Saccharomyces cerevisiae S288C: one gene and its partners. Changing the gene in region 1 together with any one later gene gives a genetic interaction. Each region holds a gene or a part of one and is shown on either strand. Other genes may lie near its edges.

What was found.
Region 2: mutations in SEM1 (region 1) and RPN10 together harm fitness more than expected from each alone (negative genetic interaction), as found in Saccharomyces cerevisiae (10 studies listed by BioGRID, with this or other methods).
Region 3: mutations in SEM1 (region 1) and LSM1 together harm fitness more than expected from each alone (negative genetic interaction), as found in Saccharomyces cerevisiae (7 studies listed by BioGRID).
Region 4: mutations in SEM1 (region 1) and YPT6 together harm fitness less than expected from each alone (positive genetic interaction), as found in Saccharomyces cerevisiae (5 studies listed by BioGRID).

The regions. Positions count from the first base shown.
Region 1 is NC_001136.10:1,199,542-1,207,379, forward strand, and holds SEM1 (proteasome regulatory particle lid subunit SEM1), read left to right. Parts: upstream 1-2,586; coding exon 2,587-2,856; downstream 2,857-7,838. Other genes in the region: ESC2 (Esc2p), read left to right, coding at 1-1,012; CDC40 (Cdc40p), read right to left, coding at 3,302-4,669; pre-rRNA-processing protein ESF1, read right to left, coding at 4,956-6,842; YDR365W-A (gag protein), read left to right, coding at 7,456-7,838. UniProt on the Saccharomyces cerevisiae protein: Versatile protein that might stabilize multiple protein complexes involved in diverse pathways. Subunit of the 26S proteasome which plays a role in ubiquitin-dependent proteolysis.
Region 2 is NC_001140.6:497,064-505,275, forward strand, and holds RPN10 (proteasome regulatory particle base subunit RPN10), read left to right. Parts: upstream 1-2,015; coding exon 2,016-2,822; downstream 2,823-8,212. Other genes in the region: AIM18 (Aim18p), read right to left, coding at 1-217; AIM46 (Aim46p), read right to left, coding at 427-1,359; NBL1 (borealin), read right to left, coding at 1,508-1,656, 1,724-1,796; PPX1 (exopolyphosphatase), read right to left, coding at 2,887-4,080; SMN1 (Smn1p), read left to right, coding at 5,325-7,133; 40S ribosomal protein eS4 RPS4B, read right to left, coding at 7,413-8,184. UniProt on the Saccharomyces cerevisiae protein: Multiubiquitin binding protein.
Region 3 is NC_001142.9:184,708-192,377, reverse strand, and holds LSM1 (Lsm1p), read left to right. Parts: upstream 1-4,733; coding exon 4,734-5,252; downstream 5,253-7,670. Other genes in the region: YJL118W (uncharacterized protein), read right to left, coding at 80-739; ribulose-phosphate 3-epimerase RPE1, read left to right, coding at 1,288-2,004; ALB1 (Alb1p), read right to left, coding at 2,135-2,662; DUF5427 domain-containing protein MTC1, read left to right, coding at 2,938-4,374; tRNA 1-methyladenosine methyltransferase subunit GCD14, read left to right, coding at 5,699-6,850; NIT2 (putative hydrolase), read right to left, coding at 6,954-7,670. UniProt on the Saccharomyces cerevisiae protein: Component of the cytoplasmic LSM1-LSM7 complex which is involved in mRNA degradation by activating the decapping step.
Region 4 is NC_001144.5:663,856-670,867, reverse strand, and holds YPT6 (Rab family GTPase YPT6), read left to right. Parts: upstream 1-1,976; coding exon 1,977-2,624; downstream 2,625-7,012. Other genes in the region: RED1 (Red1p), read right to left, coding at 1-528; TMA7 (Tma7p), read left to right, coding at 1,206-1,400; VPS63 (Vps63p), read left to right, coding at 2,305-2,631; sphinganine kinase LCB5, read right to left, coding at 2,961-5,024; chaperone ATPase HSP60, read left to right, coding at 5,866-7,012. UniProt on the Saccharomyces cerevisiae protein: Protein transport. Might participate in post-Golgi transport.

The DNA of each region.
Region 1 (7,838 bases):
AGTTGAAATAAACTCATCTGAATCTGACTTAGACGAAGACAAAAATTTTCCCAGATCTAGGTCAAGGTCCAGGTCAAGCATAAGATCAATATCTCCAGCGGGAAAATACAAGCGACAGAAAAGTTCATTACTGTATACCTATGATGAAAACGATGACTTTTTCAAGGAACTTGCTAAAGAAGCCAAAAAAAGCACCACTATTTCTAAAGAATCGACACCCGACCAGCGGAAGCGAGTTTATAACATCAAATTTCTCTCTAAGCTAGAAGGAACTATAAATAAAGCGGTCCAAGTGAAGGTCCTCGGAAAATACGAATTTTCAAAAATACTTCCTGCTGCTTTGGACGGATTGATGAAGTCCTATAAAATTCCGAAGGTAATGAAAGATATATACAAGGTAGAGAATGTTACTCTTTATTGGAACAATGCAAAATTACTCACTTTTATGACTTGTAATTCGCTACATATCCCACAGGATTTTGAAAATGAAGTCTCTGATATCGATGTTACTATCGTATCCAAAGAATACGAAAAGAACTTTGAAGCGACACTGGAATCAAAGTTAAAGGAAGAAGAAGCTGCTTTACTCATAAAAGAACGTCAGGAGATGGAAAGGAAGTTAGAGAAAAAGAGAAATGAACAAGAAGAGTCCGAATATCGCGAGTTTGAATCCGAATTAAAAAACGTAGAAGAAACACAAGAAATAAAAGAAAATGATACAGTTATGAATACAAAACTTCTGCAAGAGGGTGGCTCTTTGTCAGGAAATAGTAGTAGCATGGAAGAAGTTATGAGAATCGCTCTCATGGGTCAAGATAACAAAAAAATCTATGTCCATGTTAGGCGTTCAACACCATTTTCTAAAATTGCCGAATATTACAGAATCCAGAAACAGTTACCACAAAAGACGAGGGTTAAATTACTTTTTGATCATGATGAATTGGACATGAATGAGTGTATAGCCGATCAGGATATGGAAGATGAAGACATGGTTGATGTCATTATTGATTGAGCGCAATTTGCTAAAAAAGGCCGAACTCCGGCTCTTTACGTGCCACAATTATTATTTACTATGGGCGGCGGGTGTGTTGGTGGTGCTTGCGGTACTTGTAAAATATTTTCTGAATATAATTGAATAAGACCTTTTGTGTTTAAATCATACTCGGGTAATTCTCTGTTCAAAAAGTAGGTGCTGACCCTCTTCTACCTTCCGTGAAATATTATAAAGGAATTTTTCCATCTCTAACTCAACATGTTAACGCTTTTCTATAAAAATTTGATCGCCTAATGAATACAAAAATCTCTTCAGCTTTTTCGTGCTAGGTTTGAATAGTACATCTAACGTAGAACAACTATCAAAACAATTTGATATTTCCTCGGCTATAGTTTTCTTGGAACAAGAGGTAAACTACTTCTCTATTGTTGCTACAGCAGTCAATTAAAATAATTCGTTTCATCATAATATTATGATATCAACGCTAAAAGGTTGTATAAATTACGAGATCAGCAGAAAATAAAATTCAAGCCATCATCCTTTAAGGTGATTTGAAGGGCAAGAATTGGTAGTGTAACTGCATCAATGAGTGATTAGGTGAAAACGAAGAAAAATAATAAATATGGTACTGTGCAGAATTGTTGATTTTCTTTTTTGAACTCTAAACCATCAAGAATGGCTTTCACCCACTATTGTTACACATAGTACTATTACTTACACCAAGATGGGATCCGACAAATATCTCAACACTATATTGGTCTACATGCTTTATCGATTGCTCCTTATTTACGTATTTCTATAAATAGGGCGTACTTTACCAACAGTGATCATGGATGCAAAAAATGTGAATACATTTATATGGAAAAAAGGTTTATATCAATATATTTTAAAGTGATTGAAAATTACTGATGTGTTTGATATTGTTGGAATAAGAATCAACCATCATATACCCGACTAACGTTCATATTATTAGTAAACTATCATATACAACCTAAGAAGTTGACATAAAGATTGACAAGCAGTTACCATTTTTAGTAGAAGTTGAAAAGCAAGAATTGATAACCAAATATTGTTTTCCAACAATGCAATCCCAACCCTATCTCAATATTCATAGAATTCACTTATTTCTCAGTTTAATACATGATGATGCATCTTGATATTGAGAAATTATATGTATTATCCCTTTTTAACCTTTAAAAGGTCACAAATAAATAGCCTTGTTGGCGCAATCGGTAGCGCGTATGACTCTTAATCATAAGGTTAGGGGTTCGAGCCCCCTACAGGGCTAATAACACATTCAAAATGTTATAAATTTTTTTTCGGGTTTGTGTTTAAAACTAACCTTCTAAAGAAAACAATAAAAATTATATCAACATTTCCTCATGTCTTTGTAACCTACTAGTAGGGATTTTGAAGGGCTGAAAGCTTCTTAGTTCTGTCGGATCCATTATATTATCATTATTTACGAAACTAGTGCTATGGGTGGCGAACGTGGTGGGCGTTACCTTTTAAAGTCCTAATGGAAACCTACCTATGCATAAAGTGAATAGAGTGGCAATAAAAGTCGAATAATAGTACAAATACGCAAAAATATGAGTACGGACGTTGCTGCTGCACAAGCCCAAAGTAAAATAGATTTAACAAAAAAAAAAAATGAGGAAATAAATAAGAAGTCTCTAGAGGAAGACGATGAATTTGAAGATTTCCCCATTGACACATGGGCCAATGGTGAAACAATAAAAAGCAATGCTGTAACGCAAACAAACATATGGGAAGAAAACTGGGATGATGTTGAAGTTGACGACGATTTCACCAATGAATTGAAGGCCGAATTGGATAGATACAAACGGGAAAATCAGTGAGGGGCTACATAACATTATTTCTAAATAACGCAAAAGGAAATTATACGTCTAATGTTACTTTAGTACATTGTTGTCATACTAGTATATTTTGCTTAGATGATAAAATAAATAATAAAAAGAGATACGAAAGGCTATGCGGTAGTCGATTATATGGCCTTGTAGTATAATAATGATGCACGCAAAGTATTAAATAACTCAGCTGAGATTTCTCATTTCTTTAAATGCAGTCTCAGTTTAAAAAATTAACTATATTAAGATCCGCTCTTTCTACCATATGATGCAAATGTGTCCTCGAACTAGTACTTGCAATTTCAGGTAACCCCAATCGTTTCTTTATTATTGTCATTTTTACTATCATAATAATATCATCCGTAATAACAATTAAGTAACAAATCACATCCATGTAACCATTTAATTTGTTTCAAGTAACATTCCGAGTGAATAGCTAGTCACATACATATATCTTACCTGCCGCTCCGCTGCAAATGACTTTACTTGTTTCTTGAGGATGCCAGTCCACTTGAGTTATAGGCTTGTTGCCTGGAATCTTGATGTTATTTAATAAGCGCGACGTATTCCAATCCCAAGTAAATAGTCTGCTTTTTGAATCGCCTGAACATATGTAACGACCATCACCAGAAAAAGCCAAGCTTATCCCATAACCAGCAGATGAATGCCCTTTAAATATCTTTTTTGGATGCCTCTTATATTTGGGTTTCAAACTGAAAGAATATATTCTATTATCCATGCTTTGTGCACAGAAATAGTTCTGAGACGGATGTACATTTAAAAATGGCATAGAATGTTGAGCCGTGTCACTTATTTGTTTTATTGGTACATTGATCTGATTTTCCCAAATTCTTACCGTCTTATCCTCTGAAGAAGAAATAAACTTCGAACCATCGGGAAAATACTTGAGAGCCAGAATGCTACTTAGGTGATGATCATATGTCTGCACAAGACCTTGATTTTCTGAAACACGATCATCATAATGTAATATTTTCGAATTCGATAAACCTACAATGAACTCATGTGGGTTAGTGGGCCGAGATTCAACATCTGCAGGCGTTGAATTAAGGTGCAACCTGGTTTTCACTTTACCAGTTTCAGTATCCCAAATTTTAACGCTTCTATCAAAGGAAGAGCTCAAAAAAGATTGACAGTCTTCGGTGAATCGTAATGCTTTAATAGGCTTGTTATGACCTTGAAAATCTCGTAGGCATTCATAGTCATGGTAGAAATCCCAAATTTTTATAGTATGATCATTACCACCAGAGAGAATTAAGTGTCCAGTTTTAGGTAAGAATTTCAGGGCAGTGGTTCCTTCTGGATGCCCCGGATAATTACGTATAACTTTTTTTGGTAAGTAACACCGAAAGGATATCCTTTCCTCACGAAGATCAACATCGACGTCATTTGGTGGATATAAATATCCTCTGCCTTGATAGTCCTTTTCTGATTTACCATAAAAATGGGAGACTTCCTCTACCTCTATCTGTTCCGAATCTAGGTTGTCCTCAGCCAGCGCGTGCACGAAGATATCCTGATCTTCTTTCTGAGTTTCGCTGGCTTGTGAAGTTTCATCGTCACTACTTGACCAACTGCCCCACGGCCCATCTCCTTTGCGAGTTTTCCGTCTTCTTTTTAGTTCTGACTTTGTAAAATGTGATTTTCTCTTATGAATATTATTTGAAGAAGGTTCATACGAAGTATCTTCATGCAAATTACCATTTTTCTTTTCATGAACAGATTTGCCTTCGTCGAAGTTCAAATCAGAGTCTGAGCTTGTGTCATAACCGTCTACTAAACCCATTTCATCTGCTCTTCAAAGTACATGCCGTGTTTGTTGCACTATTTGGCCAAAAATAAAGGAAAAATTTCAAGATTTTTTTTTTACCTCATCTCTAGCAAGGACACAGTACTCCCTCGTAAATAAGACAAAATACAAAAAAGAAAATTCAAAGAAATGGTATTACAAGAACCGGTCAGAGAAACATTACGATAATTGATATCAACTACAAATCCAATGATGCATTCTTTATAATTGTACATATCTATTTGTATTCAAGTTTCATTTAAATACTATTTCATTGACTGCTTTAAACCTTTACCTTCTTGGATGATTTGCTTTTCTTTTTCAACTTGTTTACCAAGTTACCAATATCTTCATTATCATCTGCGTTATTGGTCATATTGTTTTCACTACCGCCAAGTTTTCTTTTCTTATTCTTAACACGTTTACTACGTTCTTTTAGGATTTTACTCATAGCTTGTGTACCTTTGAATTCAGGCTGGGTCGGGTCGATAGCAAAATCGTGATCTTCGAAGACTTCTTTAAATCTAGGATCTTCTAAATCAGGTGTAAAGGTGTCTTCAACAATTCTCTCTTTCTTTTGATACCGGCCTTTCTTGTGTTTTTCTTTTTCTGATCTTAAGATTTCGTTCATGTTGAAATGTGCTTTGTTATTTATTGTGCCCTGAGTTTCGGTATCATCATCATCATCCATTAAAAGCTCCAATTCAGCCTTTGATTTGGCATTCTTTTCGATCTCCTCTTCATCGTTAGTATGCTTTTTATTAACAGATTTCAACTTGCTTTTCTTATCCTTCTCCGACTGCTGTTTCAATTCCTTTACTTTCTGCTTTCTTGCTTTACGACGTTCCTTCTCTTTTCTTCTTATTTTCTCTATAGTCGTTTCTTCTTTGTCTTCCGACGATTTCTCGTTTCCTCCTTCCAAGGCTGGAGTAAATGTAATTTCCATATCAACTTCTTCATCTTCATCGTTAGGGGTTTCTTTCTTGGAATTAAACCCAAAGTCACCAACCAACGACTTTAGTTTATTTTTCGCCTCTTCATCGACCTGCCCATCCGATTCATCACTATCTGACGCCAAGTAAGCCTTAAAGTCCATATCATCAATTTCCTTTTGGGTAAAGGCCCTCTTAGCAACTTCGACCCTATCAGCTGGCGTTTCATCCCAGGTCAATTTGACGCTTGAATGTTGTAGAGCATCTGTGCTAAACTGGTGTGGCCTATAGTTCTTAGGCAATATACTGCATTCATCTCTTACATCATCATCAAAAGTCATACCATCAGGAACATACCTTAAATCGAACATATTAGCGGTTGACTCATATTCGGTACCATCACAGTTATCATAGATAGCTTTGGAGGTGGTTGTATCACTACAATAAACTATTGCGTAATAATATCTTAATCTGTCCAACTGGTATTGACGTAAAGCTCTGGAATCCACGTCCTTGTCAGCATCTCCCTCTTCATAAAGATCCTTAATACCGATGTCCATATCAGAATCAGAGTCATCAGTTTTCTTCTTTTTGGAGGTTTTGTTCTTATTTTTCTTTTGGAAAAGTTCCTTTGGAGGTCCTTCAACTTCCTCGCGTTGCATTCTTTCTTTACCAAATTCACTTGGATAAATAGCAACTCTTTCAATTTTACCACCTTTAGGAACGAAACTGGAAAAGGTAATCATCAAATCCTCAGATTTAACATGGTCCCAATCTAAATTTACGACGGCCAAATTCTTAGAGATGTCACCAGATTCTGGTTTGGCATTTTCAATTTCTACTTCATTTTCTTCTTCGCTTTCAACTTCACTTTCTCCGGACGATTCAGAATCAGAAGAAGTGAATTCATCAGAAGAGCTAACATAATCATCAGGAACTTCACCACGGGCACGGTCCACTACTGTTTTCGCATTAACTTCTGAATCTTCATCATTTTCTGCTTCCTTTTCGAAATATTTGTCGAAATCTTCCAATTCCCTGTTATTCTGCGCATTTTTGATCTTTCTACCATACTTGTCAACCTTAGATTTATGCTGGACCTCCAGATCCTTCTTACTGAACCTAGAATCTAACTTGATCTTATGATCTTTGGTTTTCGTGTTCTTAAATTTAGGATCGCTGTAGATCCCGGCAAACCTAGCATCTACACCTTCCTTCTTTGGGTTCTCTCCAGCCATCTTCAATTTTTCTTGCAACCTTATACGATCCGCTGAAATGTCTTGAAAAATATTCCGGACCCACAGTTATGTGATATTTATTATTTGTACCATTATGCTAATGATGAATTTGAGATGAGATGAGATGAAATTTTTTCTGTAACTGAAAAATTTCGGAACGTCAATAATGATCGGTAGCCTCATCTGGGATATTTGGCCCGGCTCATATTGCTAATCTTTGGATATAGGGCTATTAGCAGATTTCAATCGTCCTCTCTTGGCATAGTAGACACAGAGTTGTATTTGCGCTTCTGAGCGATGCTTCCGAGATTGTTGAAGCATGTTGGAATAGAAATCAACTATCATCTACTAACTAGTATTTACATTACTAGTATATTATCATATACGGTGTTAGAAGATGACGCAAATGATGAGAAATAGTCATCTAAATTAGTGGAAGCTGAAACGCAAGGATTGATAATGTAATAGGATCAATGAATATAAACATATAAAATGATGATAATAATATTTATAGAATTGTGTAGAATTGCAGATTCCCTTTTATGGATTCCTAAATCCTTGAGGAGAACTTCTAGTATATTCTGTATACCTAATATTATAGCCTTTATCAACAATGGAATCCCAACAATTATCTCAACATTCACCCATTTCTCATGGTAGCGCCTGTGCTTCGGTTACTTCTAAGGAAGTCCACACAAATCAAGATCCGTTAGACGTTTCAGCTTCCAAAACAGAAGAATGTGAGAAGGCTTCCACTAAGGCTAACTCTCAACAGACAACAACACCTGCTTCATCAGCTGTTCCAGAGAACCCCCATCATGCCTCTCCTCAACCTGCTTCAGTACCACCTCCACAGAATGGGCCGTACCCACAGCAGTGCATGATGACCCAAAACCAAGCCAATCCATCTGGTTGGTCATTTTACGGACACCCATCTATGATTCCGTATACACCTTATCAAATGTCGCCTATGTACTTTCCACCTGGGCCACAATC
Region 2 (8,212 bases), on another chromosome or scaffold:
GATCACGGTAGTATAACGAAGTAGCGAGCAATGTTGACGCCGCAAACCAGGGCCAATAGTGGAACGTCGAATTAGAACGCCCAGGGTATTTAGTGGCTCGTATACTAGTAAAATTTCTTTTGAAACATTGCCAATGGTTGGTTGATGGAGATTTCTGACATTTAGCTAGTGTTCGCTGGAGTGATTTTAGCATATTGGCGCACCTTCCTCTGTCCATGAAGGGATTCTATCGCGGTTGTAACGCCGTAAGAGTTTTGAATTGATTTTTTCTTGTCAAAACCGAATAGCATTGTAAACATTTTGAGGGGTCCCTCCTAGAAAAATTGAGTCGAAAGGAAACTCAAAAAAACATCATTAGAGTATATGTGCAGCTTTTGGAACAGCGTATGTATTATGTAATTGTATGTAGAAGTCGGCGAAAGTGTCCTAAGATAGAGAGACGAGTGCATCGATTACTTCCTTCCTAGCCTCCGGAGAAGGAGGATCCACAGCAGCTAGGTAGTGGGCAAATAAGAGCTTTCCAATAAGGGGTTCCTTCACTGTGCCCAATATCACAAATTCATCCTTCTTTCTTGCGTAGTAAGACAAATTCATAGAGCAGTCCTTATTCAGCTCAATGAAAAAATCATCATCTCGAGCCACAAGTCCTTTTACGCTCCTGAAACAGTCATGCAATTCTTGGAATCCAGCTTCCAGCCGGTCTTTGTCTTGAGACTGAGAATCTGGGTTCTTTAGGACGCTCTTTTTGGTGCCGTCCATCAATAACTTGAAGGAACCTGCTTTTATCGGAGTATTCTTGGACATTAGTCTGATTCCGCTGTCTAAGAGGTTATTAATCAGGATAGGGGCCTTAGCAGGATCGTTCAAAGCCGCACGCAAATTATCCTGATGTGAGTTTTCCGGTGATGGGGGTGCCGCAGTGTCGATGAACGCCTGAGACAGGAACTTTGAGTCCAGTACTTCAGAGACCAGATGTTTGTCTTCAGCGGCCACATATATGCCCAGACCATATGCTTTGAAAGTGATCGATGAGACACAACGTACACCCTTACCAATCAGCTCATATTGCGTGGAGAAGGGCCACTGTGGGGGGCCCATCTTCTTAGGGAACGCAGAGATGGATGCGTCCACTGCAACGCTGGTGGCATCCGCCTTTTTGATCTGGGAATCGTCATACCATTTCTTCGCGAATATGGATGCCAGTGCTAACCCTGTTAACACAGGCACTACTTTGCTGCCCTTCTTGTTCACACGAGCATTGCCCGCTGTAGTAGAGTAGTGAGAATACCATTGTGGGGCCCTCCTCATACCTACCTCTAGGCAATTTGTTTTCACCAAAACTTTACTGATTAAACGCATGTTTCCATATACCTGGCCTTCTGCTAAGTAGACATGTATTCAACAAGGGGATGTAACCACACGCTGCTTTAATACCAACAAATCGGCCGCTGATTAGTAATAGGTGCATCATTGCGAATACCGAGAAAGGGTCCATTATACGAACTAATCATTCTATACGGCGTCCTTCCTGTTCAAGCACCTCTCTGATTAGTTCCTTTGATTGAGGCGCTGATGTTGCATCAGGCTGCTGGAGCAGATTTAGTTTCTTTAACGTCTCCTCTTTAATATTTTCGATCAGTTTTTCTGTTGTTTCCACTGAGGTTGTGTTAGTAATTAGTGCGGGTGAAGGTTGGGGGTAGAGTGTTGCGGTGAGGTGACATACGTTCCAGCTGCATTCGATGTAGTATTGCGCTGCGCAACTTCTGCCGTTCTTCGGGAGTGAGAGCCGGTATCATCGTAACCGAGTGCGGCAGCTGCCCTTTTGCTGATGTTGTTGCCACTTCTTGTTTACAATTGTATTCTCTTGAAGTTATATGGCATTATAGCTGCCGGGTTATTTCCGCCAGGCGGGTTTTCGCCACCGGAATTTACAACTAAATACACACTTATATCAGACTTTTAAAGCGTAAAGAAAGAAGGGAAAAGTCAATAAATAACTCAGCAGTAACCGCACAATGGTATTGGAAGCTACAGTGTTAGTGATTGATAATTCAGAGTACTCTCGCAATGGCGACTTTCCTAGGACAAGGTTTGAAGCCCAGATCGACTCGGTAGAGTTCATATTTCAAGCCAAGAGAAACAGCAATCCTGAGAATACAGTGGGTCTTATCTCTGGTGCTGGCGCCAACCCCAGGGTGTTATCTACGTTTACCGCCGAGTTTGGGAAGATTCTTGCTGGACTACACGACACGCAGATCGAGGGTAAGCTGCATATGGCCACTGCGTTGCAGATCGCTCAGCTGACTTTGAAGCATCGCCAGAATAAGGTCCAACATCAAAGGATTGTGGCATTTGTGTGTAGCCCAATAAGTGATTCTCGAGACGAATTGATCAGATTGGCAAAAACACTGAAAAAGAATAATGTTGCCGTGGACATCATCAATTTTGGAGAGATTGAACAGAACACGGAGCTTTTGGATGAGTTCATAGCTGCAGTGAACAACCCTCAAGAAGAAACTAGTCATTTGCTTACTGTGACGCCTGGCCCCAGACTGCTGTACGAGAACATCGCATCTTCACCCATAATTCTCGAAGAAGGATCCTCCGGTATGGGCGCCTTTGGTGGGTCTGGCGGTGATTCCGATGCCAATGGCACATTTATGGACTTCGGGGTAGACCCATCAATGGACCCAGAACTGGCAATGGCCTTGCGTCTGTCTATGGAAGAAGAGCAGCAAAGACAGGAAAGGTTAAGACAGCAGCAACAACAACAAGATCAGCCTGAGCAGTCTGAACAGCCTGAACAACACCAAGACAAATAGTAGTGTACAAAAATATCTATATGGGTCATATATAAACCAAATAAAGCATATATAACATCTCCCTTCACTCTTCCAGGTTTGAGTACGCTTCCTCTAAATAGGGGACGACTTGCTTTCTGGTGGCCTCGACGTTCAGTTGCTTAAACATCGCCACACCTCCATCAAGATTGCCCCCAAATAATTGAAGTTGGAGCTTGTCGCTAACCCTTTCAATGAGTTCACGTACCACGTTAGAGTCTCCCAATATGACCAATTCTCTGTGTGAATCACCAGCTTTCCTCCATGAAGTCAACAGAACCAATACATCGAGCCCCCTCTCCGCCTGAAATCTTCTGCATTGGTTGACGAAATCTGCTTCACCACCGTGTTCATTGAATAGCCAAGACATTCTTTTTACTATTGATGAAAGACCAATCTCTAACCCTTTGTGTCCCTTTCCTTGGAAATTGAATTGTTTGTAGTCCTTCTTTAGAATATCGCTTACCGAAAATCCTTTAATATCGTTCTTTCTTGATTTTATCTCTTTATAAAACTCACTGCTGTCCTCTAAACCTTGCGCAGACACTTCATTAACCGCACCACTAAGAACAGCTTGGCATCTCTCGATAGCTAATTTATCACTTTCCTCGACTTTGCGCCTCATATTTGAAGTGTCTATTAAGATGGCCCCCATCAAAAGTGGTGCAATGTTCATCACCACTTCACGGTCACCTTGCAATTTTTCATACCAGTAGTTAAAAACCAGCGATGAGCAACTGCCGGACACTTTTACAATCCGAGGTTCAGCATCCAAATGTTTTTGCAAGTCAAAATGGTGGTCTATAATGCCAACGACGTTATCTATATAATTTTTCAAATTCTTTGGTGTATCGTTATTATCTACCAAGTAAGAGTTTAATTCAGTACCCTGGGAGACATTTTGCTTCAAGCTCTTTAAATCTTCAATGAAGAATAATTCCTCCTCCTTAATTTTCAGTTTTTCTAGGACATACATTACGTCTCTTCTTAAACTGAGGTCTTCTCTAGGAATGTCGATAATTGGGACAATAAAGCTTCCTTTCTTTTTCTCCTCCGAGTAAGTACCTTCATTATATATGTATTGGCAGTACGAATAAGTGATTGCACTAGCAATTGAGTCCATATCTGCTGACTCGTTACCAACACATATTGTTAACACATCGTTGCTTGCAATTTTTGAAATTGGCAGTGATTTTAAGTGTGCCAAAAATTCAGGAACCGTCTTTCTCAAAGGCGACATCTTTCTTAACAATCGGTGTTTTGAACTTTTTGATTATTTGTTTCAAGTGGCTTTAGTTAATTATGTACACTTCGTTTCTTTTTTCTACTCTTAAAAGTGAAAAAAATGAAAAATCAGCGGCATGTATAGCATACAGATAATAGGAAAAAGGTTGTGAGTTATTCTTCGAGACTATTTCGACTCGTATTCTAAATTAGAATTCAAGTAGGTGGATAATGTGACAAAATGAATGAAGGTTAGAGCTTTACACAGAGTATTATCCTCGGCGTTTTCTATCAAAGCTTCTGGTTATTCCATACTTTTTTCAAGGACAGCAGAAACATATGCCATTTTACACCTCCTGGGAAAATAATTTGTAATTTTCTAGTGACTCAATGCTTGTTGAAAGTGATCTTGTATAATGAGTGTACACATGAGATGTGCAAATTTCTTCATTACTTAGCGAGAAGTGTACACTCTTGAATATAATAACACTAACAGTGGAATCATCGGTAATAATAATACTATTGATCGTAGTGAAAGCAAAACACGACTGTACTTGAGTTATAAATTTTGTTGCTGTAGAAATTTCAGTGATCATTCATTAGCAACTTATTAAGATGACGATTATATTTTACGGTTCTTTTCACAAACCATTATACTTGCTAAAGGTTGTAAAAGTCATACACTTTTTAACATCAAGATTTCAGTACAACAATTTCTTACATGTAAAATCGTTTGCAAATTAAGTTCGCCAAATTGTATCTTAATTAAAATCTATGTGTTCAGAAGTTGAATATTGGTAAAAAGAAACAAAATGTATAAACGAACGAAAAAGGAAGTGATCAAAATAGAGTAAGGAACCAAGGCATTAGGTTCACCCGAACGTTATCATATATACGCTCATATTATTCCAAGAAAGACACATTTGTCTAGATAGGTTTCGGTAAAGGCGTCCGTAGTTAGAGAGTAGATGGCACTAACTTGAAAGCAGGAAAACAAACAATTGTGTTCCAGAGCAAACTCGAACTTTCTATCTGAACCATTGCATGACGTAAAATTATTATTACAACCATAATGAAACATTTCTACAGTATATCTTTAATATTATTTTTTACTTTAGTGTCCTTATCGATCAGTCGCTCTTTCGCCAACTAGCCGCCAATTGCAAAAGCCGATAAGCTTATTTCCCCTCAAGCCGTCAACAAGAACTACAGCAATAACAAAGAGAGTGAATGCAATAAAGGTGTGCGCAACAGTGTAAAATGATACTAAAGCTTGTACACTGTTTAGTTGCTCTTACAGGATTAATCTTTGCAAAGCCGTATCAACAACAACAGGCAGTTTTAGCGCCGTCGCAGGATGTACCATTAAGAGATATCCATATAGGGGATATAAATTTTATCCATACAACCGATACTCATGGCTGGTTGGGGTCCCATCTATCACAAAACGACTATGATGCTGACTGGGGAGATTTCGTTGCATTTGTAGATATACTTAGAGAAAAAATTTTACGACAGTCCAGAGACGTAATAGTCATCGACACTGGCGACAAACGAGACGGTAATGGTTTGAGTGATGCTACTTGGCCCCCCGGCCTACGAAGCTCGGAGATATTCAACATGATGGATTACGATCTTTTAACGTTAGGTAATCATGAGCTATATACAGCTGAAAGTGCCATACTAGAGTATAGAGGAACTTCTCAGTCCTCAAAATTCAAAGACAAATATGTTTGCAGCAACGTAGAATTTATTGAAGATGACGGAACAAGGGTTCCTTTCGGGAATAAATACATTACATTCGAGACTCCCATAATGAAACAAAGAGTCCTGGCATTATCATTTTTGTTTAGTTTTCAAAGAGCAAATAACAGAGCCATCGTAACACCACCATTGGAAGAAATAACTCAAAAAAGCTGGTTCCAAAATATGGTTGAGACAAACAGAGAGGAGGAAATCGACCTAATTATTGTCTTTGGTCATTTGCCTGCCACTGACCCTACAGAGCGTGAAATGCACAAAATTCATGCTCTAATAAGGAAATACTACCCAAATACTGTTATACAATATTTTGGAGGGCACACTCATATCAGGGATTTTGTACAGCTGGACTCAAAATCTACTTGTTTACAAAGTGGTAGATTTGCGGAAACTGTGGGATTCTTGTCAATTAATATGACTGACCCTGTGGACGCCGAAAGTCCTATTTTCTCAAGAAGGTATATTGACTTTAACAAGGAAGCTTTCAAATACCATTTGAGCAAACTAGGGCATGACTCGAATGTTCCAGTCTCAACGAAAAAGGGTAAAACTATTTCTCGTTTGGTGAATGATCTGCGCCATGAACTAAATTTGAACGAGAAACTGGGGTACATTCCTCAAACTTACTACGTTTCAACAAGGCCATTAAACTCCGAAGAGAATCTTTATCATTTGATCACGCATAAGATTTTACCCAATTTAATTCCTCCCAAAAACTATGAACCTTCGATGAGTCGTTTCATTTTGATTAACACTGGCTCTGTCAGGTACGATCTTTACAAAGGCCCATTTACAAAGGATACTGAGTATATAGTGATGCCATTCAATAATGATTGGCGCTTCATCACAGTTCCATTGGTCGTTGCCTCCAGGGTGGAAACCTATTTGAACAAGGGCCCTGTCATTGCCTCATTAGGAATACCATCATCGTCTCATCACAAACAGCATTTTGGCGGTTTTCAGAAGTGTCCCTTCATCAATAATCCAAATTTAAGCGAAGGCTACACCACAGAAGACGATTTCGGGTGTCATGGTGATGACACACCTCACAATTCACAAAGAGAATACGATATCCCCAATGTAGTGCAATGTAAAGAGGTGAAGAAAGTGCAAGAAGAGGAAGCTGATCCGTCGAAGATGGTTCATGTTATCTTCTATTCCTTTATGGAACTCGATATATTAAACGCCGTAAATTCTATCATAAATGATTTAGGATTACGTATGGAGAACTTGACCACCAATGACTGCTCCCATTATGGTGGTGATTCAACCAAAAAGTTATTACGGGATTACTTTTCTCAATTTTAGAGTATTCTGCCATTTTTTTTATTTATTTATGCACATCGTTTAAAAAAGTTCATTTGCAGCGGAAATTGCACCTTTGCTCTCTCGTCCCTGTCTCTAATGAGGCACACTGGTTACACATTTCATGAAAAAAAAAGAAAAATTGTATGTATAATGCTTGTCACTTTTTTTATAATTGATATATGTATATGTATATGTATACATACATATATATAGTTGATTTAGAATTTATTTATATTAAACAAAAGACGAAGAGAGGGCAGATAACAATATTTAAAATGTTTACAAACCTTGTTGAGCTCTTCTTCTGTCACGTTCTTCAGCAATAGACAACTTGATACCCTTACCCTTTGGCAAAGAAATGTAAGGCTTACCTTGTTCACCAATGACGAAGACATTGTTCAATCTAGTGACGAAAGTGTTGTCCAAGGAGTCCTTGATGTGAACCAAATCGAAACCACCATCGTGTCTTTCCTTGTGAACGATAGTACCGATACGACCCAAGTTACGACCACCAGTAACGTAAACCAACTTACCGGCATCGAACTTGATGAAATCAGTAATCTTACCAGAGGCCAAATCAATCTTAACAGTGTCATTGACCTTGATGTTTGGGTCTGGGTATCTGATAGTTCTACCATCGTGGGTAACAACGTATGGAACACCCTTCTTACCTAATTGGACCTTCTTGACCTTACCCAATTTGTAAGAGGCTTCTTCATCGGTGATACGGTGGACAGCGAATCTACCCTTGACATCGTAGACCAATCTGAAGTTTTCATTGGTGGCATCTAGAGTGATGACGTCCATGAAACCAGCTGGGTAGGTGGTGTCAGTTCTAACCTTACCGTCAACTTTGACGTGACGTTGCATCAAGATAGCCTTGACTTCACGGCCGTTCAAAGCATACTTTAATCTGTTTCTTAGAAAGACAATCAATGGCAAGGATTCACGCAATTTGTGTGGACCAGCAGATGGTCTTGGGGCGTAACAACCGGACAACTTGTCCAATAACCAATGGTGTGGAGCTGCTAATCTCTTTAGATGCTTCTTTCTATATGAAAAATCGTATTAACATTATT
Region 3 (7,670 bases), on another chromosome or scaffold:
GGTCGTTATTCATTATAGTTTCCATAAAGAGCACGTGCGGGCGCGCTGGGTAATGCGGGTGTGAATTTTCAGTTATAGGTCAACTACAACAGCAGGTCGAGAGGGCTTCTTCAGAAAGCGAGAGGTCGTACCAGGGATGATGTTGCGGGAGCTGCTGTTGCTGCTGCTGATAATGCACCAGTGCAGTTGGACTGGGAAGAGCAAGTGGAACAGCCACCATCTGGATTTCCATTATTGGGTACATATTTGAGAGTGGACGCTCGATGCGATGTGGTCTTCGACGCCTCCGCTTCCTCTTGATGGCTACGATCCTCAGACGAGGCCGTTTGCGTCTCTTAACGTGTGTGTGTTGTATAATGGGAGAACAGGGTTGTCTCTCCTCGGTCTTGCGCTTTTTCACTCGCAATACAGCATGCCCAAGAGTGCAGAGCCTATCAATGAGATAATTGATTAGAATAGAATTTATCAGTGGGTCGACAATAATGAACCACTTGACAACGGTCTTGGCCGCACGTAAAACCTGTGTGGTGCGAGAAGCAACGAATCTGTATACAGTTGATACAGAACGTCGGATCAACAAAATGGGGCGTGATGAAGAAAAAAAGTGGCGATCCCGTGGAGGACATTGGTGCATGGATGATTCAATCATACAATTTACGACATTTAACCAAAGTTGCACTCTGATGGGCTCAACGACTGCTACTCGTGCCAATAATGAAACTGAAAAGCATGAAGCCATCACTGTTTTTTTCGTGGTCTTTCTATATATAAACAAAGCCTCTGTAAAGTTTTTTTTTTTCGCATAACAAACGCGCTTATCTGAGACATAACAACAGCCAACGACCGATGCCTGCGTGGAATAAACAATAATACGCTGCAGAGGATAAAAAGAGAGGTATCATGTCTATTTATTCTCTGCTTTTCTAATCAAATGTGTATTGTATGCTGAACCATGCCGGTTGGTTGCTTCTTCCGGTAATTGCATTCAAGTCCTGCAACTTTAAATGTCCTCTTATAAAGCAGGACGTGGCTTCAGAAACAAAAAATGTGTCGCCAAGAGAAAACAAGAACAGCTATCCAAGTCGAGCTGGGAAAGTAATCAGATTTTTGTATATGTATAGGTACTTTCTTGATCCGTAAGCTGGAACTTCTTTCATGATCTCTGTTATAGGAAAGCCAGAATAGAAAGAATCCGCCCGTAAAAAGAAAAATAAAGCAAACTCGATACAATTTCATGCAAGAAGGCCATTTGCTAATTCCAAGAGCGAGGTAAACACACAAGAAAAAATGGTCAAACCAATTATAGCTCCCAGTATCCTTGCTTCTGACTTCGCCAACTTGGGTTGCGAATGTCATAAGGTCATCAACGCCGGCGCAGATTGGTTACATATCGATGTCATGGACGGCCATTTTGTTCCAAACATTACTCTGGGCCAACCAATTGTTACCTCCCTACGTCGTTCTGTGCCACGCCCTGGCGATGCTAGCAACACAGAAAAGAAGCCCACTGCGTTCTTCGATTGTCACATGATGGTTGAAAATCCTGAAAAATGGGTCGACGATTTTGCTAAATGTGGTGCTGACCAATTTACGTTCCACTACGAGGCCACACAAGACCCTTTGCATTTAGTTAAGTTGATTAAGTCTAAGGGCATCAAAGCTGCATGCGCCATCAAACCTGGTACTTCTGTTGACGTTTTATTTGAACTAGCTCCTCATTTGGATATGGCTCTTGTTATGACTGTGGAACCTGGGTTTGGAGGCCAAAAATTCATGGAAGACATGATGCCAAAAGTGGAAACTTTGAGAGCCAAGTTCCCCCATTTGAATATCCAAGTCGATGGTGGTTTGGGCAAGGAGACCATCCCGAAAGCCGCCAAAGCCGGTGCCAACGTTATTGTCGCTGGTACCAGTGTTTTCACTGCAGCTGACCCGCACGATGTTATCTCCTTCATGAAAGAAGAAGTCTCGAAGGAATTGCGTTCTAGAGATTTGCTAGATTAGTTGTACATATGCGGCATTTCTTATATTTATACTCTCTATACTATACGATATGGTATTTTTTTCTCGTTTTGATCTCCTAATATACATAAACCGAGCCATTCCTACTATACAAGATACGTAAGTGCCTAACTCATGGGAAAAATGGGCCGCCCAGGGTGGTGCCTTGTCCGTTTTCGATGATCAATCCCTGGGATGCAGTATCGTCAATGACACTCCATAAGGCTTCCTTAACCAAAGTCAAAGAACTCTTCTTTTCATTCTCTTTCACTTTCTTACCGCCATCTAGATCAATATCCATTTCGTCTTCTAGCTTAGCGCTTGCGTCAACCAATAATTTTCTCTGTGTAGCATATTTTAAGTTTCTCTCGATTTTCTTAGCTCTCTTTTTGGAAAGTGTCCTCGTGGTGATGGAGGCCGGAGAAGATGAAGCATTTTGTAATGTCACAGCAGTGGAATTCTGACTTTCGTTCTTCTTGTTTTGGAAGTATAGGTCCAACGCTACTGATTTTATTTCCCCAGATTTCGAATTTACGCTGGATCTAGCTGGCTTCAAGAGACCAGCTCTTTCTCTTTGAGCTCTTTTCTTATTTAAAGAGTGCACCTTGTGGTGCAAATTTGAAGTCAGCTTAGGTCTGTTGATGGAGTTTTTAGAAGGCATTATGGGTTGGCTGTGCTAGTCTCTTCGGCAAGCACCTCATCGACTAATGCCGCCATAAGTTATAACCATATATTAATATTGATACTCTCTATGAAAATTTTAGCGAAAAAAAATTTTGCGATGAGATCATTCCAAACGGATTGACGCGTGGAAGAAACCGGCGATTTTCTGGTTTCTGGTTCTTTGATGGAAGTTGGACGAGACGGTGAAGAATAGAACAAGGGACAGGTTAACTAGACTCAATCGATTAAAAACATACATACTACCAGGGCAAAATGTCTGAAAATAAGAACTCTGAGGCTGAAGACGTATTTGAATTTTTAGATTCTTTGCCAGAAGCAAAGAATGGCGGGAAAATGGTTAATACTGACGTAAAGGGTAGCCAAGAAGGCGTTAAGGGAGGTTCTAATTCTGTGGCGGGCAAGACCGGGAATGATGGAAAGAAAGGTGACGATGATATCTTTGAATTCTTAGAAGAGTTGGAGAAGAGTAACTTAAGCTTAACTGACAAGAAAGGGGTTGAAAAGAAGGCTCCCAGTGAATCAGTTAATAATAAAGCACAAGACGAAAAAGTAGAAGAATCAAAAGAAAACAAAAATTCCGAGCAGGACGCTCACGGAAAGGAAAAGGAACCACAGCAGCAGGAGAAAGAAGAAGAAGAGGAGGAAGAAGAAGAAGAAGAAGAGGAGGAGGAGGAGACCCCATTGCATGACCCAATTGCTTCTATTTCAAACTGGTGGTCCTCCTCTGGATCCGCAAAGGTATCGAGTATTTGGAATAAAACTGCAGAACAAGCATCCCAGATCAAAAACCGACTTGCCCAAGAACAGCTTGATTTGACTTCAAAGATAAACACGAGCACGATTACTGAAATAGCCAGAAACTTACAGAAAATCGTTGTTGGTGAGACTGAAGAGGTGCTGCGAATTCATCTAGTCCATGATTTGGTTAACTATCCCTCATTACAATACAATATTGAAAGCAAGTTTGATCAAGTTCTAAGCTCACAAGTTGAGGGAGGAATCAGAATATTTGTAGATGAATGGGGCCATCCTAACAATAATGGAATTACACCTGTGGAAAAAAAGCCTTCAGTTGCAGACGGTGAGTTAGGCAACTCTAAAAAAAAATTACAGTTTAATCTATTCGACGGCAAGGTAACAGACGGTGAGAAACTGGCATTTGCAAACCTGGAAAATGCAGTCAAACTCTTCAATACTGCACATGAGGAATACCAGAAACAACAGAAAGAGGCTGATGCCACTCCAGATGACGATAGGAGTTCTATTAGCAGTAACAGCAATAAAATCAGTGATTTATTCATATCCATCTTACCAATTGCCATTCCGCAAAAACAAAAAGATGCCGACGGTGACTTTCAAGTGACCGACTCCAATACGCCAGGCAATTTCAATTTCACCCTTGTATTGAAAGACATAACTAACGATATTACCACCATAACAAGATCACAAGGATTCCCTGTCAAATGGGTCAATTGGCTAGAAGGATCCGTGGAGAAAACAGGATCAACAGCAAGTGAGGAGAGGAATAAGTCATACGATCAAAAGAAACAAAAAGAAAGTGAAGACGAAGACGAAGACGATGAGATCATTGATCCTAGTGAATGGGTAAAGGAATGGATCGAAGATGGATTAAGCTTGTCATTTGGGGTCATGGCACAGAATTATGTCATTGACCGTATGGGTCTTTGATACACTTAATACATAACATTTATAGCGTAACGATGATGTATAAAGTTACAAGCGCAGAGGAGTGGGTTCAAATTCGGCCGACTTGTTACCCGCGTTCGTTGAATAATGGAAAATATGAAAAAAATAGAGGAAGTCGTGAATATACAACGGTGTTCAGCACCTGTATTTCAATCTAGGGGAAGCCTGTATGACCAAGGGCTGATTAAATATTAGTGAAGATACAAGTAACACAGTTTAGTTATATTTTCTTTTCCTTTTCAACAGGATTGCCAACGCTGCAGTAGAGTTATACCAACATTTGCTCCGCTTTCAAAACCTATAAAAGAAAGCAGCCCTCGAATCGAATTAATTCACCAAAAATGTCTGCAAATAGCAAGGACAGAAATCAGTCCAATCAGGATGCGAAGCGACAACAGCAGAATTTCCCAAAGAAGATTTCAGAAGGTGAGGCCGATTTATATCTCGACCAGTATAACTTCACTACCACCGCTGCTATTGTAAGCTCAGTAGACCGTAAAATCTTCGTTCTTTTGCGTGATGGAAGAATGCTATTCGGTGTACTAAGAACCTTTGACCAATATGCAAATTTGATACTTCAAGATTGCGTGGAGAGAATATATTTTAGCGAAGAAAACAAATACGCTGAAGAAGACCGCGGCATATTCATGATTCGTGGTGAAAATGTTGTCATGTTAGGCGAAGTAGACATCGATAAAGAAGATCAACCCCTTGAGGCCATGGAACGCATACCATTTAAGGAGGCTTGGCTGACCAAGCAAAAAAATGATGAGAAAAGGTTTAAAGAGGAAACCCACAAAGGTAAAAAAATGGCCCGCCATGGTATCGTTTACGATTTCCATAAATCTGACATGTACTAAGAAAGAAAAACACAATACTACCAACATATATCCTGGAGTAAACTCTCAAAAATTTCCACATTCAGTTTTACCTATCCGTACACTTAATCAACTGCCTTTGGAGATGGAACAATAAAAAAAATGCAAGAGAGGAGGCCGTATTTGTATATAAATTAATATATTTAAATGTAAAATATATACAGTACTTGAGTTTTTTTATGAAGTAACGTATTTGCGCAGCATTCTTTTTCCTCTTACACTTCGTTATAACATTAACACTCATGCTATTGATACTTTTTCTTTATTATTATCTATAAAATTTTTTCGCTTTTTGTTTATGCCATGCCGTTAGCAACGAATTTTTTTCCATGCTCATCACTTTTAAAACTGTTTAAAGTATATAGAAAATATATGTGAATAAGATCGGGGTGGGACTATCAGGTAGCTAAGATTACGCAGATTTAGAAATGTCAACAAATTGTTTTTCCGGTTACAAAGACCTCATCAAGGAAGGCGATTTAACTCTAATATGGGTTTCTAGAGATAACATCAAACCGGTAAGGATGCATTCCGAAGAGGTATTCAATACTCGTTATGGTTCATTTCCTCATAAGGATATCATAGGTAAACCTTATGGTTCTCAAATTGCTATAAGAACAAAGGGCTCAAATAAGTTTGCATTCGTCCATGTTCTGCAACCAACTCCTGAATTGTGGACTTTGTCGTTACCACACAGAACTCAAATTGTATATACGCCCGACTCTTCCTACATCATGCAAAGGTTGAATTGTAGCCCTCACAGCAGAGTGATCGAGGCAGGTACAGGCTCAGGATCATTTTCGCACGCTTTTGCAAGATCTGTAGGTCATCTTTTTAGTTTTGAATTTCATCACATAAGATACGAACAAGCATTAGAGGAATTCAAAGAGCATGGACTTATTGATGATAACGTTACGATTACACATCGGGATGTTTGCCAAGGTGGATTTCTTATAAAGAAGGGAGACACTACATCTTACGAATTTGGCAATAATGAAACCGCCGCTTCATTGAATGCAAATGTAGTGTTTTTAGATCTGCCGGCTCCCTGGGATGCTATACCTCATCTGGATTCTGTTATTTCCGTAGACGAAAAGGTCGGATTGTGTTGCTTCTCCCCATGCATTGAGCAAGTAGACAAAACATTGGATGTATTAGAGAAATATGGCTGGACGGATGTTGAAATGGTGGAAATTCAAGGTAGACAGTACGAAAGTCGAAGACAAATGGTCAGATCACTCAATGATGCCCTGGAAAGGTTGAGAGATATTAAGAGGCACAAACTCCAGGGTGTAGAAAGACGCAAGCGGATGTTTAACAATACAATAGATTCTAACGATGAAAAAGTTGGAAAAAGAAACGAGGATGGCGTACCATTAACAGAAAAGGCCAAATTTAATCCTTTTGGCAAAGGTTCTCGAATCAAGGAAGGTGATAGTAATTATAAATGGAAGGAGGTCACAAAGATGGAAGCTGAGATCAAATCCCATACCTCATATTTGACTTTTGCATTTAAAGTTGTGAATAGATCAAGAGATGATGAAAAAGTTAACGAAATTCTTCGATCCACGGAAAAATAATTAAATGATTAACTACTTATATACTTAAATTATATGTTTTTGAAATTTTTAATATGTAAAGCAAATCTGTACGAATAAAGGCTTTTTTCATATTTTATTTGCCTCAATGAAATAAATCGTCTCTTCTCTGGTTCCATAAGGGCATTTTGTTCCTTATTTCTTGCAAAAGCTCACGATCCAAATCAGCGAGAATTAGTTGTGGTCCAACAGTAGAGGGATCGGCATGCGCTATTATTTTACCCCAAGGATCAATGACCATTGAGTGTCCCCAAGATTCTCTCCTGGAGCTTTTTTCGAGAGCGCTCATATGTGATTGTTTCTCCCACTCTGGATCACTGAGATCGTGCATTCCAACCTGCCCTGGCATGAGCACATAGCATTGAGTGTCAACCGCTCTTGCTCTGCCTAGTAACTCCCAATGTGCTTCCCCTGTTTTAATAGTGAACGCACTGGGAAAACATAAGATTTCAGCCCCCATTGATCGTAATTTCAAAGAAAATTCGGGAAAGCGAATATCATAACAAATGGCACTGCCCAATTTTCCCAATGGAGACTCTATAATGTCAGGAATGGCTTTGCCAGGCTGGACAGATTTTGATTCTTTCAATATCGGTCCATTTGGCACGTCTACGTCAAACAAATGCAGTTTTTGGTATTCTTGCAATATTTTCCCTTCATGATCGATATATAATAGAACGTTTCTGACTCGATCATTGCCTTCAAGTAAATCTTGTTCTGAGGGCGGCAAGTGTACCCCAATGGAAACATCTATATTCCGTGAATTATCTCTGACAAGGTCGGTAATGCTTGACTGTAATTG
Region 4 (7,012 bases), on another chromosome or scaffold:
TTTTTTAAAACAGTTAGAGAGAATTTCCACCAGAAAATTTCCTTGTTGCAAATCTTGAATATTATCAAACAACTGACCAATCTTTTTGGCATGTTCTGTCTCGATCAGGTTAGTTATAATCTTTTTGGATTGAGGGACACTGCTGAGGATGCTGCTAATAACGGCCAAGCATTTCCAACTGACTGGATTTTCCATTGCGATGCCAGTCTCAAGTAAATAATTTAAAACTTTGGAGTCTTCGTCTATATTAATCTCAGAAGAAAATCTTAATTTTAAAATGAAATGCCAGATATCATCACTTGGAAGATTTGAATCGGTGATTTTAACGGCAACATTTATGATGTGAAATAACAACTCAAAATTTTGAATTACTTCTCTCTTTATTACTAGCAAATGGAGAAATTCCTGCAGTTGTTTAGAAGTTTCCAAAGTCATTAACCCATAGTGGATTCCTTTCGTTTCATTCCTAGTCTGTGCTAAGTCATTTTTCAGGCAAACACCAAAAATCTTTTTCTTCAAACCTTCCATTCTTATCACCGTATTTGCTGTCCCTTTGTGGTCCTCACTGATTAAAAAATCTTTGTTCTATTTTTCTTATTACCTTTAATGCTTCACGAATGATGTGAATGTTTTGCGAATGATGTGATTGAATCCATCTGATCCTGCTGCGAAATCGTAGTTTATTTAGCCGCTGAACCCTTTGAGCAAGTATTTATCGTTTTTAACGTTGAAAAAGTAGTCATATTCAAATTATATAAACCAGCCAATAATACGTTACTTTGCCTTTTTAGATCACACAATTAAGCGGATACAAGATCACCCATCATAAAGGGTTGGCAAACGCCATTGTTTTTGTCGAACCTTACCTGATATCTCCAGAAATCCAATGTATATCTTCTGTATGAAAATATGAATTGTGAGTGCACATGCCTTTTCTAACAGGGAAACCTGTTGTGATTTGTCATTGAATGTGATGAAAAGCTCCTCCAGTCGCCTCGGCTTGGCTTGGCTTGTCTTGGCTTTTTTGGTTTATTCTTTCTGTCCTGAGATAAAAATTGTAGTAAATCTATACTTCTGGAAGTTTCCCGCGACGAAAATGAACGAGGAAAATAAAAAATTTCATGTTTAAAATCCTGTAATTGATTGCTCTTCCACGCACAGTAAGTTGCAAAACCAGAAGAATAACTGAAAAACCCTAAGCAATCATGTCTAGTCGCCAAGGTGGTAAGATGAAGCCTCTAAAGCAAAAGAAGAAGCAACAACAGGACTTAGATCCTGAAGACATTGCCTTCAAAGAGAAGCAAAAGGCCGATGCTGCTGCTAAGAAAGCTTTGATGGCTAATATGAAAAGTGGTAAACCTTTAGTGGGTGGTGGTATCAAAAAATCTGGTAAGAAATAAAAGGCCTTTAACAACGTCTAATAAAAATTTACTCAGTATTTTCTAGTTCTCGTTTTTTAAGTAAATACATATATTACCAAAGAAAAGCTATTTGCAAGATATATCGTTCTTTCCGATGTTTTACAATCGTAATTACTATGTATAATGGTTACATCTAGCAAATTTGGAGGTTTCCTAAATAAAGCCCCTTGCGTGTCTCTCTAGAGGTACGAAAACAACTGATATATAATGGACCCTTTTCTATTGTGGTGACAGGCATAAGGATAAATATTTATAGATGGCTAAGGAAAATAAGAAAAATACTTCTCCCTATTCATGAACCGGGCATCTTGAGTAGAATAGGGTGCTTCTATTCGTTAGTGCTGGTATTAACTTCTAGTGAAAAATGGCCGAATAATTTCCGGGTAATAAAGCCTTCAGCACAGCTCAATTAGTGGAGGAAAATATTGCCCATATATAGATTGTTACTATGTATGATGTAAGAATATCACAATTGGGCACTTAAGGTTGTGTGAAAAGAAGTGTTTGAAGCTGTTGATTCTGAACAGTAAAAGATAAACAAAGAAGAGATTAACAATGAGCAGATCCGGGAAATCATTGACAAAGTACAAAATTGTTTTTTTGGGAGAACAGGGTGTTGGAAAAACATCGCTGATCACTAGATTTATGTATGATACGTTCGATGATCATTACCAAGCCACGATTGGTATAGATTTTCTTTCCAAGACCATGTATTTGGATGATAAGACAATTAGATTACAGTTATGGGATACAGCAGGTCAGGAAAGATTTAGATCATTAATACCTTCATATATCAGAGATTCGAGAGTTGCTATTATCGTTTACGACATTACGAAGAGAAAATCATTTGAATATATTGATAAATGGATAGAAGACGTTAAAAATGAAAGAGGTGACGAAAATGTTATATTGTGCATTGTTGGTAACAAAAGTGATTTATCAGATGAAAGGCAAATCTCAACCGAAGAGGGAGAGAAAAAAGCAAAACTATTGGGTGCTAAAATCTTTATGGAAACGTCCACAAAGGCAGGCTATAATGTCAAAGCTTTATTCAAAAAGATTGCCAAATCGCTGCCTGAATTTCAAAACAGCGAGTCAACTCCTTTGGATAGCGAAAATGCAAATAGTGCAAACCAAAATAAACCGGGAGTCATTGATATTTCTACAGCAGAGGAGCAGGAACAAAGCGCTTGTCAGTGTTAGCACCTAATATTTCAGTTCTATAGGGCATAAGGAGAACTCTTTGTGTGCGTCATATTTTTTAGTGAACTACCAGCACATAATAATTGTACTGATAATATTAATAATAATCATAATCATAATGTACTTGACGATCTGATGTGTAGGAGCTAGTACTCACTAAACATGGTTGTATTAAAGAATGGTATTAAAACTTTTTATAAAGAAGTATGGAGTGTATAAAGTTATCAAACAACAACAAAAACAACAACAACGTAAAAAAAATATAGAAGAAATAGAAATGACATATTCTAGTTTTTGATTAATTGTTCAGTACGAAGGAAAAGATTAAGTAAAGTGTCACATAGAATCGAAATCTGTGTCCACATAACGGCCATTTCTCAGTAACGTCTTGCATAAGCGTGGCATAATTTCGACTTGAAGGGGCTCTAGAGGAAATTTCTCGCCATCGACAGAGAACAAGCCGTTCCCTAGCTTTGGTATTATCTTGTATGCCAAAATTTTAGAGTGTAAGACTTCCGGTTGTAAAACATGGGAACCCTTATCTAGTCCCAGCAGGATTGGTGCCATCCTCGTCAACGAGGTTCTTGCATCGGTGATAACCATATCCATTGTACCATCTGAAGGAAGCGCTGCCGGAAAGAATTTAGTGTCAGCAGCCACATATGGCATTTTACCCGTATAGAAGATACCTAGGTTGTTCGAAATATTAGGATCCAATCTTTCCCAGTCACTAGGGATACCTTCATCTAATGGATATTTTATTTTGAAATCTTCCTCTTTAATTTGATCAGCACTAGAATCTGCCAGATCACGAGATATCAAGTGGGAGTCTTCGTCATCCGCATCCGCATCTTCATCTTCATCTTCGTTTTCGGTTTCGTATTCATTTTCGTAATTGTAATTATCACAATCCTCGTTATCTTTGTTCATAGTAATATGCTGGAATTCTAACGACCCTTTATTTTTGTGTTCCAGGTAATGATTTTTTAACTCGTTTTTTGATTTGGCAGCATACTTTACATATATCTCACAAGGATATTTTTTTTTTTGTATGATATTGAAGGCTACACCCAATTCAAACCTTGCAGGTCCCATCCATCTAATAAATTCAGTGTTTATGTCAGTTTCTGCAATGAGACCATATGTTTGACTTAAAAATGATAACTTTGGGTGCTCTCTTGCATAAGAAGGCTGCGAACAACACATCAAATCAATTCTAGTCTCTATCGATTTAATTAAGCATAAAGTTGAGTACGAAGGATTGTTTGTCCAGTGGCAGGATACGCTCATTGCGTTACCTGATCCGCATGGAATTTCTGTAATGGCGATATTGTTGAATGCTTTGACATGATCAGGCCTTTGGTATAACCCATTGATCACCTCATGAGGAATGCCATCTCCCGAAGCGCAAGCAATAGTGTCATATTTGTCAATATCCATTTCCCGCGCGATCTCTATAGCATGACCAGGGTATTTTGTATAAACCACTTCTATGGAACACCGACTTGCTAATAGTAACGGCTTTGCCTTTGTCATAAACAGTTTTTTCGCCTTACCTTTACCACCAAACGGATTAATGATCACAAATATGGATTTGTTCCTTCTAGTGTTTTTGTAGCTTCTCTTTAAAATCTCCTCAACCAAGTCATCTTCTTCTTTTAAGTGAGAAGATGAATGGGGTTTATAGTCAATATACAATGAAACCCTTTTGGGTACAACGTCATGCCGTCTTGGCCTAGCAAATATAACCTCTACTAGTTTCGTAAAAGGAGATCTGGAAGTCAGGAGGCTACTACTACTGTTACTTCCTCGCGATAGCGAGTTGCCCTTCCTTTCTTTTTTTTGGGAAGACTCTAATTCATCAAGATCACACTTTTCACTAATGTTACTCATTGAGCTGCTTAAAGGTGAACTGGGTGATGAATTGGCATCATAATAATGCAGAGGTTCCTTTTCAATGTATCTGGCATCCAGAATTCGTCCATAGGGGATAACGGTGTTTGCTGGCAATTGACCATTCACCGAAGGATAATGAAGTTTTGGATTAGCAGAAAGATCATCTTTACTTGTATCCGTTGTCGATGTTTCCGATCTGTCTATTGTATCAGTATCGCTTAAACAGGTAACACAGCTAATTAGTGAAGCCGTTTCAAATATACTGTTGTTATCACTGTTGCTTTGAAAGCTAGTTCTACTGATGTTGCTTTGAAAGCTAGTTCTACTGATGTTGTCAATGCTGCTGCGACTTCGTTTATCTGCCATTCTATTTGCGTATGTGTAAGGACTTGATGGTTTTGCCTTGATCATTATTCCTTCCTCAGTCAGTATCGCTGACGTTATTTGCTTCTTCCTGGAATGGCGAGACCTGCCCTTACGTCTCTTTGAAGGTTTCAAAGTCATCTCTTTTGGCTTACTGTTTAAATCTTACACTATTTGTGGTTTTTTCGAGATAATATCAAGAGTCCTTTTACTCTTCTTTTCTTTCCTATTTTGCAACACGTATATACAACAGTTTATGCTGTAGTTATACTTTTTTGATTGTTTTTGTATAAATAGATTCGGCTCACGCAGCTTACGTTCCCTTTCTTCTTCGCCTGCGAAGGCTTTAACAAGGCCCGAAAACACCTTGATTTGCAAATCTAACTATGAATCTTGCAGAAAAGCGGTGGCAACTGAAAGGGAAAAAAACATAGATTAAAAGAAAGCAACATAGTAACATAAAGGAAGAGAAAATTTTGATGATAAAGAAGATGAATAATATACCTAATGCATCCAAATGTTCCTCCTGTTATACTATTGGGAATTATTGCGAGTGCATCCATTCGCGCAATGATCAAGTAGAACGCCAAGACTAGTTGTGCAAAGAAGTACAGTTGAAATTCCAGCCAGTTATGTCTCATCCCTATTCCACTGTTTTTGTAGGTATACAATGGTGTTACGAGCAATTGAAGCTGTTTATTGCCTGGTATTACCTCTGGAAACTTACTTTATAGCCGCCCATCTGTATATGTCATCATATACGGACCTCGTGGAATTTTCCAGAAAACCAAATGGGGAGGGTGACTTTAATTTTGCTTCGTTTTGCCCGGAGCAGAATCCAGACGGACATTCATGTATATATATTGAAGGAGACTAAGTTTTACATTCATTATGTAAGGTCGTGGTTGCGTCTTCATGCACTTCCTTGAATAATATAAGAAAATTCCCACGAGAAAACATCATAAGCAAAAAAGTTTTCAAAATGTTGAGATCATCCGTTGTTCGTAGTCGCGCTACTTTAAGGCCTTTATTGCGTCGTGCTTACTCCTCTCATAAAGAATTGAAATTCGGTGTAGAAGGAAGAGCCTCCCTTCTTAAGGGTGTCGAAACTTTAGCTGAAGCGGTTGCTGCTACTTTGGGTCCAAAGGGTAGAAACGTTTTAATCGAACAGCCTTTCGGTCCTCCAAAGATTACTAAGGATGGTGTTACAGTTGCCAAATCTATTGTGTTGAAGGACAAGTTTGAAAATATGGGTGCCAAGTTACTACAAGAAGTTGCCTCCAAAACCAATGAGGCTGCTGGTGACGGTACTACTTCTGCTACTGTCTTAGGTAGAGCCATCTTCACAGAATCCGTCAAAAATGTCGCCGCTGGTTGTAACCCTATGGATTTGAGAAGGGGTTCTCAAGTTGCAGTTGAAAAAGTGATTGAATTTTTGAGCGCCAACAAGAAAGAAATTACCACATCTGAGGAAATTGCTCAAGTAGCAACCATTTCTGCCAATGGGGACTCTCATGTTGGTAAGTTACTAGCTTCAGCTATGGAAAAGGTTGGAAAAGAAGGTGTCATCACTATCAGAGAAGGTAGAACATTGGAAGATGAACTTGAGGTTACTGAAGGTATGAGGTTTGATCGTGGTTTTATTTCTCCATACTTCATCACTGATCCAAAGTCGAGCAAGGTGGAATTTGAAAAGCCATTGCTATTGTTGAGTGAAAAGAAAATTTCTTCCATTCAAGATATCTTGCCAGCTTTGGAAATTTCCAATCAAAGCAGAAGACCTTTGTTGATCATTGCTGAAGATGTTGACGGTGAAGCTCTTGCGGCTTGTATTTTGAACAAGTTGAGGGGTCAAGTTAAGGTTTGTGCTGTGAAGGCGCCTGGTTTCGGTGATAATAGAAAGAATACAATTGGTGATATTGCAGTCTTGACGGGCGGTACTGTTTTTACTGAGGAGTTGGATTTGAAACCAGAACAATGTACCATAGAAAACTTGGGTTCTTGTGACTCTATTACCGTTACTAAGGAAGACACCGTTATCCTGAACGGTAGTGGTCCAAAGGAAGCTATTCAAGAGAGAATTGAACAAATCAAAGGCTCCATCGACATTACCACCACAAATTCATATG